Saccharomyces cerevisiae S288C: one gene and its partners. Changing the gene in region 1 together with any one later gene gives a genetic interaction. Each region holds a gene or a part of one and is shown in the gene's direction. Other genes may lie near its edges.

Region 1 (7,860 bases):
CAACAGAAATGTAGTATCTTTATATTCCACGGTGACTTTGGGCAATTCGCTTTTCATTAAAGTCTCTGCCACGTTGCGTATACGGGCGTCCGATGGTTGTTCCTCCACGAGTTCATCATCATACTCCAAAAGGTCTTCTTCATCGCCCTCATCCAATTGAACCCCGACGTCATCCACCTCCACTGTTTTATGCGCTTCTTCTTCACTCATCTTTGATTCCATTGATACCAACAAAAACAATCTTTAACTACGTATCTTTTCCTTTACGTATATATAATTAATCATATATACTTCCCTTTTTTATGCCTTGTTGTAGTTTTAACATATCATGTACCACGAATGGATGCAGGCTCGGCGGGTATTTAGACTTTGCCCCGGATTATAAACAAAACGGGACTATTAGTATCATCTATCAAGAAATCCTTTCATTGAAAATGATTGATACCTCAAGGTGGATTTGACAACTTAAGAGGCGTCGTAAGGATGAAAACAAAGTTTGATCGCCTCGGTACAGGAAAAAGAAGTAGACCCTCTCCAAATAGTAGTAACGAAGCTTAGCAACACCCTTATCAGTTTACACCATATCGGACAACAACAGTATTTTGACTAACATTGTTACCTCTTTCTTTTATTATCTAGCGGAAATGCAACCAAAAGTGGTTTTTCTGGACTAGAATTTCAGAGGACTTATAGATATTGACTTTAACGACCAGTCTGCTACATTTAAAAGAAATAAGAAAAATAGCCGCCAACCAAGTTTTAAAGTAGGTTTGTCTTATAACAGTTTACTGGATGATTGTGATGATGAAAATGAAACAGAGGAAATATTTGAGGGCCGTGGTCTGCAATTCTTCGACAAAGACGATAATTTTTCAATAACAGCAGATGATACACAAGTAACTAGTAAATTATTTGATCACGATTTAGAGCAGACACCTGATGAAGAGGCGAAGAAACCTAAGAAGGTCACGATAAGGAAATCAGCGAAGAAATGTTTGAGCACGACCATATTACCAGATTCATTCAGAGGGGTTTTTAAATTTACAGAATTTAATAAAATGCAATCAGAGGCTTTTCCTAGTATTTATGAGAGTAACGAGAACTGCATAATTTCTTCACCAACCGGATCAGGCAAGACTGTATTATTTGAATTGGCAATATTACGTCTTATAAAGGAAACAAATAGTGATACCAATAACACCAAAATTATATACATCGCGCCAACCAAATCTCTATGTTACGAGATGTACAAGAACTGGTTTCCTTCCTTTGTGAATCTTTCTGTTGGTATGCTTACTAGTGATACCTCTTTTCTGGAAACTGAAAAGGCTAAAAAATGTAACATAATAATTACGACACCAGAAAAATGGGATTTGTTAACAAGAAGATGGTCCGATTACAGCCGATTATTCGAATTGGTCAAACTTGTCCTAGTTGATGAGATTCATACCATAAAGGAGAAAAGAGGAGCATCTTTGGAAGTAATTCTGACAAGGATGAATACAATGTGTCAAAACATTCGGTTTGTTGCTTTAAGTGCAACAGTTCCAAATATAGAAGACCTAGCATTGTGGCTCAAAACTAACAACGAGCTTCCTGCAAATATTCTTTCTTTTGACGAATCGTACAGGCAAGTTCAGTTAACGAAGTTTGTTTATGGGTACTCCTTCAATTGCAAAAATGACTTCCAAAAAGATGCTATATATAATTCCAAATTGATTGAAATAATTGAAAAGCATGCCGATAATCGTCCCGTACTAATATTTTGTCCGACTAGGGCTTCAACTATATCAACAGCAAAATTTTTATTAAATAATCATATTTTTTCAAAAAGTAAGAAAAGATGTAATCATAATCCCTCCGATAAAATATTAAATGAATGTATGCAACAAGGTATCGCTTTCCATCATGCTGGAATTTCTTTAGAAGACCGTACTGCCGTTGAGAAAGAATTTCTTGCAGGTTCAATTAATATATTGTGTTCAACTTCAACGTTAGCTGTTGGTGTGAACCTTCCCGCATATTTGGTCATTATCAAAGGCACCAAAAGTTGGAACTCTTCTGAAATCCAAGAGTATTCAGACCTAGATGTACTGCAAATGATTGGGCGGGCAGGAAGACCTCAATTTGAAACTCACGGGTGCGCAGTAATCATGACAGACTCTAAAATGAAGCAAACATATGAAAACTTAATTCATGGAACTGACGTTTTGGAAAGTTCATTACATTTGAATTTGATCGAGCATTTAGCAGCAGAAACCTCTTTGGAAACTGTATATTCAATTGAAACTGCAGTAAATTGGCTACGAAACACATTCTTTTACGTTAGATTTGGGAAGAATCCAGCTGCATATCAAGAGGTGAACAGATACGTTAGTTTTCATTCCGTTGAAGACTCTCAGATAAATCAATTCTGTCAGTATTTGCTTGACACCTTAGTAAAAGTGAAAATAATCGATATCAGCAATGGGGAGTACAAATCTACAGCGTACGGAAATGCAATGACGCGACATTATATATCCTTTGAGTCGATGAAACAATTCATTAACGCAAAAAAATTTCTATCATTACAAGGGATACTAAATTTACTGGCCACTTCTGAAGAGTTTTCAGTTATGAGGGTGAGGCACAATGAAAAAAAATTGTTCAAAGAAATCAATTTATCGCCACTTTTGAAATATCCATTTTTAACCGAGAAGAAACAGAGCCAAATAATTGACAGGGTTAGTCAAAAGGTTTCTCTTTTGATTCAATATGAGTTAGGTGGGTTAGAATTTCCATCATACGAAGGCGCTTCTAAACTACATCAAACTCTTGTTCAGGATAAATTCCTCGTTTTTAGACATTGTTTTAGATTACTAAAATGCATGGTAGACACATTTATTGAAAAAAGTGATGGAACATCACTGAAAAATACTTTGTTCTTACTGCGAAGCCTGAATGGTCACTGCTGGGAAAACACGCCAATGGTTCTTAGGCAATTGAAAACAATTGGACTAGTTTCAGTAAGAAGGCTAATACGACATGGAATTACCAATCTAGAAGAAATGGGGCATTTGTCAGATACTCAGATTGAATACTATCTTAACCTCAAGATTGGAAACGGCATAAAAATTAAAAACGACATTTCTTTGTTGCCTTGTCTGAATATTAGAACAAAACTAGAAAATTGCAAAATAGAAAATGAAGAGTTGTGGTTGACATTTAAAGTTGAGATTAGTGCAACATTCAAGTCTAGCATTTGGCATGGTCAGCACCTCTCATTAGATATCGAAACCGAGAAAAGCTCAGGAGAGTTAATCGACTTTAGAAGATTGCAAGTTAACAAACTACAGTCACCAAGGGGCTTTAGAATTTCAGCAAAAATATCACCAAAACTAGAAAAAATAGAATTCTCAATTCATTGCCAAGAAATCGCCGGACTCGGCAAAACAATCGTATATTCCACTGATCATTTGGCATCACAGTTCTCTGCGAAGACACCAAATATAAGGAAAGATCTAAATAGTTTAGAAAAATGCCTCTTCTATGAAAGCAGTAGTGACGGAGAAGTGGGGAAAACGTCTAGGGTTTCCCATAAAGATGGATTAGAAGAATCGCTATCCTCAGATGATAGTATACTAGATTATTTGAATGAAAGGAAGAAATCATCAAAGGCGGTTGAATCTGCAGCAGTTATTCACCCGGAGGCACACTCTTCTTCACATTTTAGTAATGGCCGCCAAGTAAGATCTAATGGCAATTACGAGTGTTTTCATAGCTGCAAAGACAAAACGCAATGCAGACATTTATGTTGTAAAGAGGGTATTCCAGTAAAGTATATAAAAGAAAAAGGACCCTCCTCAATCAAGCCAGTATCAAAACCTGATCAAATACGCCAGCCACTGCTTGCAAAAAATATCAACACAACCCCTCACCTGGAAAAAAGACTGAATAGTAAACCAAAGCAGTGGCAAGAAGAAAATACAGATATTGCGACAGTTCATACACTTCCTTCAAAAATTTATAATCTATCGCAACAGATGTCGTCTATGGAAGCGGGTGAACAAGTCCTAAAATCAGGCCCCGAAAACTGCCCTGAAATAATTCCTATTGATCTTGAATCATCCGATAGTTATTCTAGTAATACAGCGGCGAGCTCAATAAGTGATCCGAATGGTGATCTGGATTTCTTGGGTTCCGATATAGAGTTTGAATGAGCGGCATGGCCGGGAACAATAGACATTACTGATATTCATTACCCCAATCCTTTCTGTTATTTGTATTGCTTCCCAACAGAAGTTAGCATGTGTGAGAGTTTACTTATAATGCTTTGTTTTTAAAATGCAGCCAGTGGTGAAACAATTGGAACCTTTACTATTTATTAGGGAACAAGATGACATTGTCAATTGATATATTACTATTGTTACATATCGTGCTATTTATCATTTCAATTATTAGTCACATGACCGCGATAAGCGATCCGGGTCAGAATGCCGAGATAGGATAACTTTGCCGGCGGAGTTCCTAGATCAATTGAAAGAATCGAAGTGAGATTAGTAATTCATTCATATGTACCTTTTAAAAAAGAAACTCACTCTTGGAAGTGTCCTTTACTAAGGATTGTTTTGAACGAAAAGTGTAGGCGTGCCACAAATGTCAACACTTAGCGATAGTGATACCGAGACTGAGGTCGTGTCGAGAAACTTGTGTGGAATCGTCGACATAGGTTCTAATGGTATTCGTTTTAGTATATCTTCCAAGGCTGCACATCATGCAAGAATTATGCCTTGTGTTTTTAAAGATAGGGTTGGTCTTTCTCTATACGAAGTTCAATATAATACACATACGAACGCAAAATGCCCTATTCCCAGAGATATTATAAAAGAGGTTTGTTCTGCCATGAAGAGATTCAAATTAATTTGCGATGATTTTGGTGTACCTGAAACTAGTGTCAGAGTAATTGCAACAGAAGCCACGCGAGATGCTATTAACGCGGATGAATTTGTTAATGCTGTTTACGGTAGCACTGGCTGGAAAGTAGAAATATTAGGCCAGGAAGATGAAACTAGGGTCGGCATATATGGTGTTGTTTCCTCATTTAATACAGTAAGAGGTCTATATCTAGATGTGGCAGGTGGTAGTACTCAGTTATCATGGGTAATAAGCTCGCACGGAGAAGTCAAGCAATCCAGCAAACCTGTATCTTTGCCATATGGAGCTGGAACTCTTTTGAGAAGAATGAGAACAGATGATAATAGGGCACTTTTTTATGAGATTAAAGAAGCGTACAAAGATGCGATTGAAAAAATTGGTATACCTCAAGAAATGATTGATGACGCCAAGAAAGAAGGTGGATTTGACCTTTGGACCCGTGGGGGTGGTTTAAGAGGTATGGGACATCTGCTTCTTTACCAGTCGGAAGGTTATCCCATCCAAACAATAATTAACGGATATGCTTGCACTTATGAAGAATTCTCGTCTATGTCAGATTATCTATTCCTAAAACAAAAAATACCAGGTTCTTCAAAAGAGCATAAAATATTTAAGGTTTCTGATAGAAGGGCTTTACAACTTCCTGCCGTTGGTTTGTTCATGAGTGCTGTTTTTGAAGCGATTCCCCAGATCAAAGCTGTACATTTTAGTGAGGGTGGTGTTCGAGAGGGTTCACTTTATTCTCTTCTTCCAAAAGAAATTCGTGCACAAGATCCATTGCTAATTGCGTCCCGTCCTTATGCTCCATTACTTACTGAAAAATATCTATATCTATTGAGAACATCAATCCCACAAGAAGATATACCAGAAATAGTAAACGAAAGGATTGCTCCTGCTTTATGTAACTTAGCATTTGTTCATGCCTCTTATCCAAAGGAGTTACAACCAACAGCTGCATTACATGTTGCTACAAGAGGGATAATAGCCGGCTGTCATGGATTATCTCACAGAGCTAGAGCGCTGATAGGAATTGCTCTATGTAGTAGATGGGGCGGCAACATTCCGGAATCTGAAGAAAAATACTCCCAAGAATTAGAACAAGTAGTTCTACGCGAAGGTGATAAAGCTGAAGCATTGAGAATTGTATGGTGGACGAAGTATATTGGTACGATTATGTATGTGATTTGCGGTGTTCATCCAGGTGGTAATATCAGAGATAACGTATTTGATTTCCATGTTTCTAAGCGTAGTGAGGTGGAGACCAGTTTAAAAGAATTAATCATTGATGATGCAAACACTACAAAGGTAAAAGAAGAATCCACGCGTAAAAATCGCGGGTATGAAGTGGTTGTGAGAATTAGTAAGGACGATCTTAAAACAAGTGCTTCCGTTCGTTCCAGAATTATCACGCTACAAAAGAAAGTACGCAAGCTATCTAGAGGAAGTGTAGAGAGGGTTAAAATTGGCGTGCAATTTTATGAAGAATAAAGACATCTAGTCTTTAAATACTTGAACAATAAATACGAAATCCTTATATAAGCATCTTTTACTACCAAAAAAATTTAAAATTAAGCAAGAGAAAAAAACGAGCAATTGTTAAAAGAAACTAAAATCATGTAGATTTCATAAATCGTCATATTCTTTGTCTATATAAATATTTATCGTCACGAATAAATCCCGTGAATTTCTAACAAAGTTTATACAATATCACAGTTGTAAAAGTAAGAAAAAAAAAGATCATAGAAAACATGTTCACATAAGTAGAAAAAGGGCACCTTCTTGTTGTTCAAACTTAATTTACAAATTAAGTTTAAGCACCGATGATACCAACGGACTTACCTTCAGCAATTCTTTTTTGGGCCAAAGCAGCAATAACAGCGGCACCAGCACCGGAACCATCTTCAGCAGGAACAATCTTGATTGGGTAGTCGTCTAGTGAGGTTTGAGTCCAGCCGTAAATGTCCTTCAAAGCATTGGCAGCCTTTTCTTTGAAACCTGGGTATCTGTTGTAAACGGAACCGTCTGCAGCGATGTGACCGGTCTTGTAACCTCTCTTTTGACAGATAGCAGCAATACCACAAACGGACAATCTAGCAGCTCTAGCACCAATCAATTCAGATAAACGTCTGATCAATTTACGTTCTTGAACAGTAGTGTTGATACCGAACTCATTTTGGAACAAGTCATCGGTATCTTCTAGGTTCTCGAATGGATCTTCCTCGATTCTGGCTGGGTAAGAAGTGTCCATGACGAAAGGCTTGTCGAACTTAGACAAGTCTTGGTTCTTGAAGATGAAACCTTGTTTGTACATGTCCATCAAGGCCAAACGCAAAATTTCACCTAAGTAGTAACCAGAAGACATTTTTTCAAAGGTTTGTTGGCCTGGTCTTGGAGATTCTTCATCAATGGTGATATCGTATTTAGTTCTTGGCAAAACGACATGTTCATTATCGAAGGAACCGTATTCACAGTTGATGGCCATTGGAGCAGATGGTGGAATGTCATCAGATAGTTTTCCTTGTAGCTTTTCGATATCGGAACAAACATCGTAGTAAGCACCATTGACACCAGTACCGAAGATAACACCCATCTTAGTTTCTGGGTCAGTGTAGTAAGAAGCAACCAAAGTACCGGTAGTGTCGTTTATCAAAGCAACAACTTCAATTGGGATATTCCTCTTAGTGATTTGCTTTTGCAACATTGGAACAACATCGTGGTTTTCAATGTTTGGAATATCAAAACCTTTAGTCCATCTTTGCAAGATACCTTCATTGATTTTGTTTTGAGAAGCTGGGAAAGAAAAGGTGAAACCCAATGGAATTGGCTCAGAGATACCTTGTGGGAATTGCTCATCAATAAAAGCTTTCAAAGAGTCGGCAATAAATTCCCACAATTCGTCTGGATTTTGAGTAGTTCTCATAGCATCTGGTAATCTGTACTTAGATT
Region 2 (6,368 bases), on another chromosome or scaffold:
TACCACTTTAGTTCCTACTAAGAATGCCTTAAAGCAGGCAGAAAAGCTAGCCAAGACAAATAACGGAGATTCTGACGGTTCTATAATGGAGATTAACGGGATACCTCTTTCCATGCTCGGGGAAACAGGCAGCGTAAAATTTCAAAGTTTATTCGCTAATACCTCGAATAGTAACGATTATAATAATAATAGGACGTTATTGGATGCGTCTAATGACATATCAATTCCCTCTAATTCAATTTATCCAGTGGCTTCTGTCCCCGCTTCGAATAACAATCCACAAAGTACTAAGGTAGACTATTATAGTAACGGACCTAGTGTAATTCCTGATCTCTCCATGAAAAGATCAGTAAGCACTCCCGTTAATCATTTTCCTGCGTCCGTTCCAGGGTTAAGGAACCACCCCGTTGGCAACTTATCTAATAATGTTACATTGGGAATAGACCACCCTATTCCAAGGGAGCACAGTAATTTACAAAATGTCACCATGAATTATAATAATCAATTCAGCAACGCCAACGCGATTGGAAGATCACAAAGTAGTATGTCCCATTCACGTACACCGATTGCTTCGAAGTCAAATAATATGACAGATTTGCATTCCGTCGTTTCCGACCCCGGCTCCTCTAAAAGCACGGCATATCCACCTCTGAGCTTGTTTTCCAAAAGTAATGATATCAATAGCAACAAAACGAACCAACGATTTTCTACGGGCACTAACACTGTAACTTCTTCTAACTTCCAAACCATCGATAATGAAAACAACGTGAAGACTCCTGGAAACAAACTAACGGATTTTTTTCAGCAACAAAGTGCAGGCTGGATTGAAGGCAACTCCAGTAATGATGACTTTTTTGGTTGGTTCGATATGAACATGGAACAAGGTTTTTAACGCCTATATTCTTCTAATATTCTAAGAAATATTATTACCCTTGTTTTCTGCTAATTTATTAAAGAAAATTTGCAAAGACGGCTACATAGGACTTCGAGTCCTTTTATTTATACATATTCTTTTTCGGATTATTTCCAATGTAACAATATTCAAGAATGGATCAACTTAAGGATTATTTATCAGTTTGTTATCACGACCTCCCTCCTTTGTAAAATGATGACCACACCAAAGTAGAATATTTATTCACTACCTATTTATTTTATTCTTATTAATATTTTATATATCATGCATTTATCCGTGTGCATTTACCAAAATTCATGAGTAACGATAACGCTTCTTATAGGTATCTATCTATTCCCATTCCGGTAACTTTTTTTTTTTCTCCAACGCTCAGTCCTTGCTTCTTTATCCCTATTCGTTTGGAGACGGTCGTCAATTTTAGCGGAAGGCTGAAAAATACATCGATCCGAAAGTGTTGAACATAGAGATGAGGCAAGATAACTATAAAGATAAAGAACCCAAAGAACGTAATTGAACTATTGTGTGAAAGAAGGTCGACAACAGCAAAGGAATCAATAGAGTTTTTCTTTGGTTTTCAAATTGATTTTTTTTCACCTGTTCATTTTTTTTTTTTCCATTTGGATAATATTATTATTGCCTATACCAGATCTTACCCTTTGACTGTTCAACTCATCAAGCTTTATTTGTTGAAGGGGCCAAATTCGGCTTTAGTAAGGATCCAGTACTTTCATTAACATACTAAACCCACGCAAGAAGGGCGCAATCATGATCAGAAGATGGCTAACTATAAGTAAGTCTGGGAAGAAGAAAAAGGCTGTTAATGATACCATTACAGAAGAAGTAGAAAAGGTTGACTTTAAGCCTGTAAACCACGATATAAATGATGAACTCTGTTATAGCGAATCATCCGATAATCCCTCTAGCTCATTGTTTGTCTCTAATTTGGATACCAAGGAAACTTTTTTGAATGAAGACAATAATTTGCAGATTTCTTCCGGACTAGACTATTCTTCTGAAACGTGCAATCAAGGCAGTAATTACAGCCAGGATGGGATATTTTATATTTCAAACGCAAAGGCTATAAACGCATACGGAGGCATTATCACGCAAGGGCCCGAGGCACCCATATTAGCTATGAAGGTGTCCGACTCAATGCCCTATGGAGACGGCTCCAACAAAGTTTTTGGATACGAAAATTTTGGCAATACATGTTACTGTAACTCAGTTCTTCAATGTCTCTATAATCTGTCCTCATTACGTGAAAATATATTGCAATTTCCAAAAAAATCAAGAGAATCTGATCAACCAAGAAAGAAAGAAATGAGAGGTAAGAAACCAAGAATATTTACCGAAGCAAGTTTTGAGAAAAGCATTGCTGGTACCAATGGACATTTGCCTAACCCTAAACCTCAATCTGTTGATGATGGAAAGCCTACCCCTGTAAATTCTGTAAATTCAAATACAGCTGGGCCTTCAGAGAAGAAGAGTAAATTTTTTAAAAGTTTTAGCGCGAAACATGTACAAGACAATAATAAAAAGGAAGGAAGTCCTGCTATATTAACCACTGGAAAACCCTCTTCTCGTCCTCAAGACGCACCTCCATTGATAGTCGAAACACCTAATGAGCCTGGTGCTCCGAGCAGATTGAGTTTCGAGAACGTCACAGATAGACCTCCGGATGTTCCGCGTAAAATAATTGTTGGCAGAGTTCTCAATTATGAAAATCCTTCAAGAGGTAGCAGTAATAGTAATAACCTGGACTTGAAAGGAGAAAGTAATAGCAGCTTATCCACTCCACTTGATAAAAAAGATACTAGAAGATCTAGTTCCTCTTCTCAAATATCCCCAGAACATAGAAAGAAATCCGCACTTATTCGTGGGCCAGTGCTCAATATTGACCATAGCTTAAACGGCTCAGATAAGGCTACTTTGTATTCCAGTTTGAGAGATATCTTTGAATGCATAACTGAGAATACGTATTTAACTGGTGTTGTATCGCCTAGCTCTTTTGTTGATGTTCTCAAAAGAGAAAATGTATTATTTAATACTACTATGCATCAGGATGCTCACGAATTTTTCAATTTCTTATTAAACGAGTTGAGTGAATATATAGAACGTGAGAATAAAAAAATAGCAGCCAGTGATATCAACAGCGATAGCGAACCGAGTAAGAGTAAAAATTTCATCAGTGACTTGTTTCAAGGCACTTTAACGAATCAAATAAAATGTCTGACGTGCGATAACATTACATCTAGGGATGAGCCATTTTTGGATTTCCCCATAGAAGTTCAGGGAGATGAGGAAACAGATATACAGGAAATTTTGAAAAGTTATCACCAGCGAGAAATGCTAAATGGCTCAAACAAGTTTTATTGTGACGAATGTTGCGGTTTACAGGAGGCAGAGAGATTAGTTGGTTTGAAGCAATTGCCTGATACTTTAACATTACACTTGAAAAGATTCAAGTATTCTGAGAAACAAAACTGTAATATTAAGCTTTTTAATAACATTCACTATCCTCTGACGCTAAATGTTTGCTCTTCAATAAATTCTAAGGTTTGTCAAAAGTATGAATTGGCTGGGATTGTCGTTCATATGGGCGGTGGGCCACAACACGGCCATTATGTTTCCCTATGTAAACATGAAAAGTTTGGCTGGTTGTTATTTGATGACGAAACGGTAGAGGCAGTTAAAGAGGAAACAGTGTTAGAATTCACAGGTGAATCTCCAAATATGGCAACAGCATATGTTTTGTTTTATAAAGCGATGTATTCAAACGCTGTTGAAAAGAATGATCGTGAAAATATGGCAAAAGAACAAGATGATAATATAGACAATCTAATCAAGTACGATGATTGGCTAAGAACTTGCAATAGTGGTCAAAAGAAAAAGGAAGAGCTGCCTATAGCAGACGATTTGGATACTGCTATAGACGACAGCTTTGTTTCTAACACACCCATAAAGTCTTCTAAAAAAAAGTCGAGAATGTTTAGTTTTAGGAAAAGCTGAAAAATATTTGCATATCAAGGAAGGTAAAGGTTCACCGTCTCCTTTAAAACTATTTTTTCTCTGACAGTATTAATTTAATTCTTACATAAATATAATATCTTTAATCTTCTTTTTTTAAACCGGCTCCGGAACCTTTTTCTTAAATTTATAGTTTTGTCTCAGTAAAAGGTTTTCTTTTAAACTAATACAATTATGAAGTATTTAGGCATGCAAGCAATCAGGAATCTAAGAATAAAAAATTGTCCTATACTGGAGCATGGGTGAACAAATATGACACGGATTCACCATTGTGTAGTCTTCTTATAGCTTCAGCGAACGTGGGACTAATATCGATCTGGTCAGCAATAGGTAAATCCAAATCTACCGGAACGGTATTTGTGCAAACAATTCTAGACAATCTACTATTTCTTAGCTTTTCTCTTGCTGAACCGGAGAAAATACCGTGTGTAACAATAGCTATAACTTCTTTGGCACCATGCTCCATCAACGTATCACAAGCTTTTACCAACGTACCACAAGTATCCGCCATATCATCAACTAATAAACATGATTTATTGGTAACATCACCAACAAGCACCATTTTTGAAACCTCGTTAGCTTTTTGCCTCTCTTTGTGAATCAAAGCAAAATTTAAATCTAACTTGTCAGCCAAAGCAGCTACTCTCTTAGCACCACCTGCATCAGGCGACACCAAAATAGCATTGTCGAAATCTGTTTTCGTTCTAATATAATTTAAAACACTTGGTTCTGCATATAGGTTGTCAACCGGGATATGGAAAAACCCTTGAATTTGGGAGGCATGGAGATCCATTGTGATGACATGATCAGCACCAGCAGTTTGCAATAAATTGGCAACCAACTTTGCGGTAATGGGCGCCCGGGATTTATCTTTCTTGTCTTGTCTTGCATATGGAAAATTGGGTATTACAGTAGTGATCTTTCTTGCAGATGCAATTTTGCAAGCATGAATTAAAATTAATAATTCCATCAAGAAATCATTAATTTCTTGTTCACCTATTCCAGTTTGGATAATATACACATCTTCGTCGCGAAGGCTCTCACCTATGGTGACAGAGGTTTCTTTATTAGAATACTGGTACACACCAACTTTGGAAAGTGGAATACCTAACTTTTTCGATATTTGTTCAGCCAAATCAGGATGGGAGTTTCCCGCTAGCAATTTGATACTATTTATAGCCATATCTTCTCGAGACTCTGAATTCATTTTTGCTGGAGAAGCCTTGTGGAGTTGAAGCTGAGAGTCTATGTGCATTATGTAGTCTACCACATGCTCAAGGTCGATGACCATATAGGACCTTGAAATATTTTCGTCAGGATTTTTCAATGACCGAGAAGTAAAAAAAAAGCAGAGAATCGAGCAGCAAGGCTGATTTGCTAACAAATCCAATTGATATCATCGGCACGTGCTTAACTAAGGAGCGAGACTCATCTGCTTCAATTGTTACAATATTTGATTATATATTAAAATAAATGGTTATGTACGTACAGAGAACGCCAGGAGAAGGTGGGAGGGGGAAAATATTAAGCATTAAATTATGAAGTTCATTAAGTTTAAAAATAAAACATATTGTAAATGTAAGTGGGTATCTAGAATTTTTCGACGTTCATGATTAACTTTCCTTGGGCACGTTGAGTGGCCATATAAGAAAATGCTTCTTTATGGTCTTTCCAGTCATAAACTTTGTCGACGACACATTTTACAGTACCGTTCTTCAAAAAGTCGCCACATTGCTCAATCCAATCATTATTGGCGGAAGCCGTCTTTGCATTCGGATCAAAATAGTAATGTGTGTAGTTATATGACCAGATAATAGACCCGAACATTTTTCTTGCATTGGCACTTGGGTTATCCCATGAATCGAAAATGTCTTCTTTATAATTGGCAACGTAATCACCTACAGTGGTTACGTACGCACCACCGCCGTGAATCAATGAACTAGAATGACTCAAAATATCGTAACCACCGACAAAATCGAGTACAACATCGAACTTCCCCTCATTATAGTTAAGTATAGTTTCCTTATCCTCGACCGGATCATACTGAGAAATTTTCTTTTCTTCGAGCATTTTTCTTAGTGGTTTACTAGATTTACCCCTACACGTTAAGTAATCGATGAAAATCATTTCATCAGCCAGATCAGGAAATTTCTCCTGTAAAACTTGGGGCCCATTTGCAGACGTTACAATCACTAGTTTTTTCTGTAACTTGTAATGACGCTTCAATAATTGTATGACAAACATCCCCACTGACGAAGTTCCACCATTAATCAAAACGTTTGAATCTTGCTTCAAATACTTGTTCTTGGATAATTTATTCAGAATATTATAGCCGGTGGCCAGGCAGAATAAGGAGCCTGCAGCTTCTTCGGCGCTAACCGATTCTGGTCTCAAAAGGATTGGGTCCACCTTTGGATCTACTAAGATT
Region 3 (5,614 bases), on another chromosome or scaffold:
GGGGACTTTTTCAGTTTTCTCCAAAGCTTTGCTGATTTCTCAACGATCCACTTTTCTGCTTTTAATATTCTAGACTGACTATTAAAGAGATTATCGGTATGCTTATAGTAAATGAATGATTCTTTGTCCGTTATTGGTATCACAGTCACTTTAACAGGATCATGCAGATATTTTTGGAGTGAAGCCTTTTCAAGTTTTGTTGAATACGCCCTCATTCCGTAGAACAGTCGAGAAGTGGCAGTTATACTAGTTGGCGGTATAAATATTGAACGTATCATCTTTAATCTAAAATACACCGGATGAAGTTTTGGTATTGTGATAAAATGATTCTATCGATGAAGAGCAATGATATGGATACTGCTACGTTGAAAAGGAAAAATTTCATGGCTAACTAGTAACTGAAACTGTGCCAGATAGCACACCCTTTAGATACTATCTTGGCACAATGCCCGATGCTTACTCCCCGGCGGAGACAGCCGTCAAGTCCATCCATCCAAAAGTGGAGGAAAAACAAGAAAATAAAGCTATCGAACAAGGAGCGTTGAAGTAAGAAAAACAAACGAAGAACTGAATAAACACAGCCTGCTTCAAATTATGGAAGGAGCTGTTACACATGGTAATTTTCTTATTTTTTTTGATAGATGGTGGAAAGTGGTAGCGTGGAAGTTGCGGATTATCACGACGTTTTATGGGCTCTAAATCGGTATAAGCTCAACAAATGGTTGAGGGCCGAATAAACGAAAAATTATTAGACCATAATTGCTACCAGCTGAAAGATTATCTCATTATAATACGCTTGAAACCCTCTAAAATGTCATTCGTAGTTAAGTACACTTTTTTGATCTCTCCAAGGTTAGCCGCCCATATAAAAAACTCTAGGAACCAAATTTGGTATACTGCGTGCGCTTGAGATTCAGTTTTTGTGTAAATCGGTTGCTGCAAACTATTTATATTAATGTTACATCGATGCAAGATTTTAGCCATGTTCCTAGTTTCTTGTCTATGAGCGTTTACTCAACCGAGACTCTTGTTTGCTATTATCTCGATTCGACGAACAAACAGTTCCCTGGGTATTCGAACAAAGCACAGTTGGTGATTTTGTTTGAAACTACAGACGTGCTCTCTTTTACAAAATAAATTGTAGGAAGTGATCCGCACAGGCAGAGGGAATTACAGATCACGCTCCTCTCTTATGACTAATGCACTCAGCATTTTCTCTTCCTTATAAACTCCGTCCACAGTACCCGATCAGCTGGCTCATCGTTATTCTAAATTAACTGATGACTGATGTTACGTCTGCGTCAAATTCCGCCGGAATATTGCGTAGTTTTAGTAAGAAAAAAACAAATTCCGACGGGAACTCTCTGCAAGGAAGTTTAAGCGTGGGTTACTTTGCTAGGTTGAGAAAAAGAATTCTTTAGAGGATCACACGTAGTAAAAGAAAAAAAAGATCTCTTCGCGCCACTCCCGGTTTCTCTGTGGATACGGCGTTACTAGCGTTGCAAGTGGCAAAAAAATGAGTAATGTCACAATGGCCTGGCCTTGTCCCACTATCCCTTATTCATGGTTGAAAAATATGACCAAAATTGCTGGGGAATTTTCTCTTCGGTAGTGGACGACGACGACATTAGAGCAATAGGCAATAATTTAATTTGCGCTTTAGGTTCTTGCTGACGATGATGCGTGAGTAATATTATTACCAAGTTTTAAGGGCCTCATCGCTGGCCATTTTTTACACCTGCTTAAATACCCGATGATGATATATATAAATGATATTGGCTGCTTATCGATAAAGTGTATTTGATATGTTCCCGTTTAGTTTATTCTTGTTTCTTATCTACATAACAAACAAAGGAAGGACCCTGTATTGTTTTCCTAAAGATGACTGCTGCTAAACCAAATCCATATGCTGCCAAACCGGGCGACTATCTTTCTAATGTAAATAATTTCCAGTTAATCGATTCGACGCTGAGAGAAGGTGAACAATTTGCCAACGCATTCTTCGATACTGAAAAAAAGATCGAAATTGCTAGAGCCTTGGACGATTTCGGTGTGGACTACATCGAGTTAACCTCACCAGTAGCATCTGAACAATCAAGAAAGGACTGTGAAGCTATATGTAAACTAGGTTTAAAGGCCAAGATCCTTACACACATTCGTTGTCATATGGATGACGCCAAAGTCGCCGTAGAGACTGGTGTCGACGGTGTCGATGTCGTTATCGGCACCTCCAAATTTTTAAGACAATATTCCCACGGTAAGGATATGAACTACATCGCCAAGAGTGCTGTTGAAGTCATTGAATTTGTCAAATCCAAAGGTATTGAAATCAGATTTTCCTCTGAAGATTCCTTCAGAAGTGATCTCGTTGATCTTTTGAACATTTATAAAACCGTTGACAAGATCGGTGTAAATAGAGTCGGTATTGCCGACACAGTTGGATGTGCCAACCCAAGACAAGTATATGAACTGATCAGAACTTTGAAGAGTGTTGTTTCATGTGACATCGAATGCCATTTCCACAACGATACTGGTTGTGCCATTGCAAACGCCTACACTGCTTTGGAAGGTGGTGCCAGATTGATTGACGTCAGTGTACTGGGTATTGGTGAAAGAAACGGTATCACTCCTCTAGGTGGGCTCATGGCAAGAATGATTGTTGCCGCACCAGACTATGTCAAGTCCAAATACAAGTTGCACAAGATCAGAGACATTGAAAACCTGGTCGCTGATGCTGTGGAAGTTAACATTCCATTCAACAACCCTATCACCGGGTTCTGTGCATTCACACATAAAGCAGGTATCCATGCCAAGGCCATTTTGGCTAACCCATCTACCTACGAAATCTTGGACCCTCACGATTTCGGTATGAAGAGGTATATCCACTTCGCCAACAGACTAACTGGCTGGAACGCCATCAAAGCCAGAGTCGACCAGTTGAACTTGAACTTGACGGATGACCAAATCAAGGAAGTTACTGCTAAGATTAAGAAGCTGGGTGATGTCAGATCGCTGAATATCGATGATGTTGACTCTATCATCAAGAACTTCCACGCAGAGGTCAGCACTCCTCAAGTACTATCTGCAAAAAAGAACAAGAAGAATGACAGCGATGTACCGGAACTGGCCACCATCCCCGCCGCCAAGCGGACTAAGCCATCCGCCTAACGTTCCCAAACCATTACATTATGTTCTTTCACTTATTACATACGATATATAGCATCTACATCTACATATCTAAATGATGTTTTTTCCCATCTACTTTGTCCGATACGCATTAAAAGAAGAAGATTTACTCTCCCGTGATGCCGGGCCAATCAGACGCGCGCATTCGCGGCAGAATAAGGGGAGGCTGCTGCGGGTACCAAATATCCAGATATTCACAATTATGCCAATCAACTGTCTAGTTGCTGACACCCATCGTTTTCCACTGCAACGAGGTTTTGGGGCTAGAAAAGGCGTTAACAATCGTTAGAGAAGGAGGGGTTCATAACTTGACTTGTTGTATCTTGTTTAAAACTTTCTTTGAATTTGTTCGTGGTTGAATTTGTTTTTGCTATCCCAAAGGAGTGCATTTTACACGCATTACTACAGCACACTTTTATACAGTTCCACAATAGAATATGTTACCACGTTCAGCATTAGCACGCTCATTGCAATTACAGCGCGGTGTGGCCGCAAGGTTCTACTCTGAAGGTTCTACCGGCACCCCAAGAGGGTCAGGCTCAGAGGATTCGTTTGTTAAAAGGGAAAGGGCCACGGAAGACTTCTTCGTTAGGCAGCGTGAGAAGGAGCAACTACGCCATTTGAAAGAACAACTGGAAAAACAACGAAAGAAGATTGATTCTTTGGAAAATAAAATTGACTCGATGACCAAATAATCATGCGTTTCCGCAGAAGCTTTTTTTTTTTTTTTTTTAGAATATTCTTACTCTTTTATAGTCAAACAGCAGAAAAACTATATAATAATACATCACACTGAGCTTTTGCATTTTCGATAACTATCATTCTAGTTTTCCTCTGGTTTGAATTTTCCTCTTGTCTGTCTGACTAATGTCACTCATTATTTCCACTTCGCGCAAAGTTCGTCCCAATGCGGAAAGGCATAGAAAGATAGGAACAGTGTGGAACATGGAAAAGTTCCAAATAACGTCAATAGTCCATACTTAAGATACGAAATTTCAAAATTCCTTCTTTTTTGTTTCAACAAGCTTAGCCTAACACCAAGAATATACTTAGCATCTCTTCGCATTCAAAATTTCTCTTCCATTCTTTGACGTTTTAAATCATACCTCGTATTCTTTACACAAAAGAAAGATACCTGTGAAATATATCTGAATATGGTCCGATTAAATCATGCAGCATCATATTTTATGCCTATTTTCTGCTCCACAAGGCCTCACATAGTGATACTTTCTGCGCTGTTTAGTATTTCACTGTTTTCACTATTCTATGCGTCGTCCGAATTACTGCTACACCAGTATGATGATCCATTGATGTTCAAACCAAATTCGCAGGACTATTTCAGGACCTTTCTTTTGGGGCTTTTTTCACCATTTCTTTATTATTTCCTGAAGACCTTTCTATTCAATATAAATCAAAGGTTTTTAATATTGAACCTGATAGTGGATTTTCCTATCAACGACGTCTTTATGCTTTTGATACTGATTGGTTTAGCGTACCCTCAGGTGCAAGATCACGAAGGCGGTACGATCAAGCATAAGGAATGTTCTTGGCACATCATTCCAAGACAAGCCTATATCTTTGGTATATCATGGGCCCTGGGTGAATTCACCATATGCATAATAGGGAATTTGTTTAACTACCAAGAAATCGCCGATCCAAACATTAATAGTGGCTTCACACACCAGGAAAGCGCCAACACTTACTGTAACAATAATGATATGAGCCATAACGATGACTGCGGTTGTAGTACAGAATATCGCCCCAACGTCGTAGACAGAAGTGATATTACGTTGTCCAAATGTATTGAAGTAAGAAATGACTCATCTTCCATATCGAATAACGTATACTCGTCTGAGTACCATCCAATCAAACCTCTACGTTCATCGTCATCAACTTATGGCAGCATACGACAGCAACCTCATGAAAATAAGAAGCAGCTGCATGTACCAGATAATTCGCAGGACGATACAATTATCATGATGAACCCCATCGACAATTCATTAAAGTTGACAACTCTAGATACGGGTGATTTGAGTTTCCCCATAGACGAAGAACAGCCCATTTTGAAGAAATCTTTTGGTTATACATGGGCAGTTCCTAATGAAAATACACAAAATACTACTAAAAGCTTCACACCGATAAAGAGATTTATTGCATTTAGCACGGCATACCAGTTGGTCACCGGTTTATTGTTAATGATATTGGTAGTTGGTAGTAATATCATGTTGACAATTGGGGAATCATTGATTCTGTCGATGTATTTCGTCTATGTTCGCGGCCATGAAGGATTATTTACTCCCGTGGTGAACTACTTCGGCTCAAGAACCATTTCAAATTTCATCTTATGCGTAATAATTCCTTTCATATCTCTAAACTTCCTCATCAACACTTCGATATATTTAAGAAGAGAGCTAGACGATTGGTTTAA

The links. A genetic interaction does not mean that the proteins touch.
Region 2: mutations in RTG2 (region 1) and UBP13 together harm fitness more than expected from each alone (negative genetic interaction), as found in Saccharomyces cerevisiae (2 studies listed by BioGRID).
Region 3: mutations in RTG2 (region 1) and LYS20 together harm fitness more than expected from each alone (negative genetic interaction), as found in Saccharomyces cerevisiae (2 studies listed by BioGRID).

What each region holds. Positions count from the first base shown.
Region 1 is NC_001139.9:24,260-32,119, reverse strand, and holds RTG2 (Rtg2p), read left to right. Parts: upstream 1-4,635; coding exon 4,636-6,402; downstream 6,403-7,860. Other genes in the region: RMR1 (Rmr1p), read right to left, coding at 1-210; HFM1 (DNA helicase), read left to right, coding at 484-541, 694-4,199; HXK2 (hexokinase 2), read right to left, coding at 6,725-7,860. UniProt on the Saccharomyces cerevisiae protein: Required for a novel path of interorganelle communication between mitochondria, peroxisomes and the nucleus, thereby maintaining a functional metabolic interaction between the tricarboxylic acid and glyoxylate cycles.
Region 2 is NC_001134.8:91,193-97,560, reverse strand, and holds UBP13 (ubiquitin-specific protease UBP13), read left to right. Parts: upstream 1-1,678; coding exon 1,679-3,922; downstream 3,923-6,368. Other genes in the region: SEF1 (Sef1p), read left to right, coding at 1-892; ribose phosphate diphosphokinase subunit PRS4, read right to left, coding at 4,167-5,147; AST1 (Ast1p), read right to left, coding at 5,531-6,368.
Region 3 is NC_001136.10:131,556-137,169, forward strand, and holds LYS20 (homocitrate synthase LYS20), read left to right. Parts: upstream 1-1,881; coding exon 1,882-3,168; downstream 3,169-5,614. Other genes in the region: MRX19 (Mrx19p), read right to left, coding at 1-278; INH1 (ATPase inhibitor), read left to right, coding at 3,624-3,881; AIT1 (Ait1p), read left to right, coding at 4,341-5,614. UniProt on the Saccharomyces cerevisiae protein: Catalyzes the aldol-type condensation of 2-oxoglutarate with acetyl-CoA to yield homocitrate. Carries out the first step of the alpha-aminoadipate (AAA) lysine biosynthesis pathway.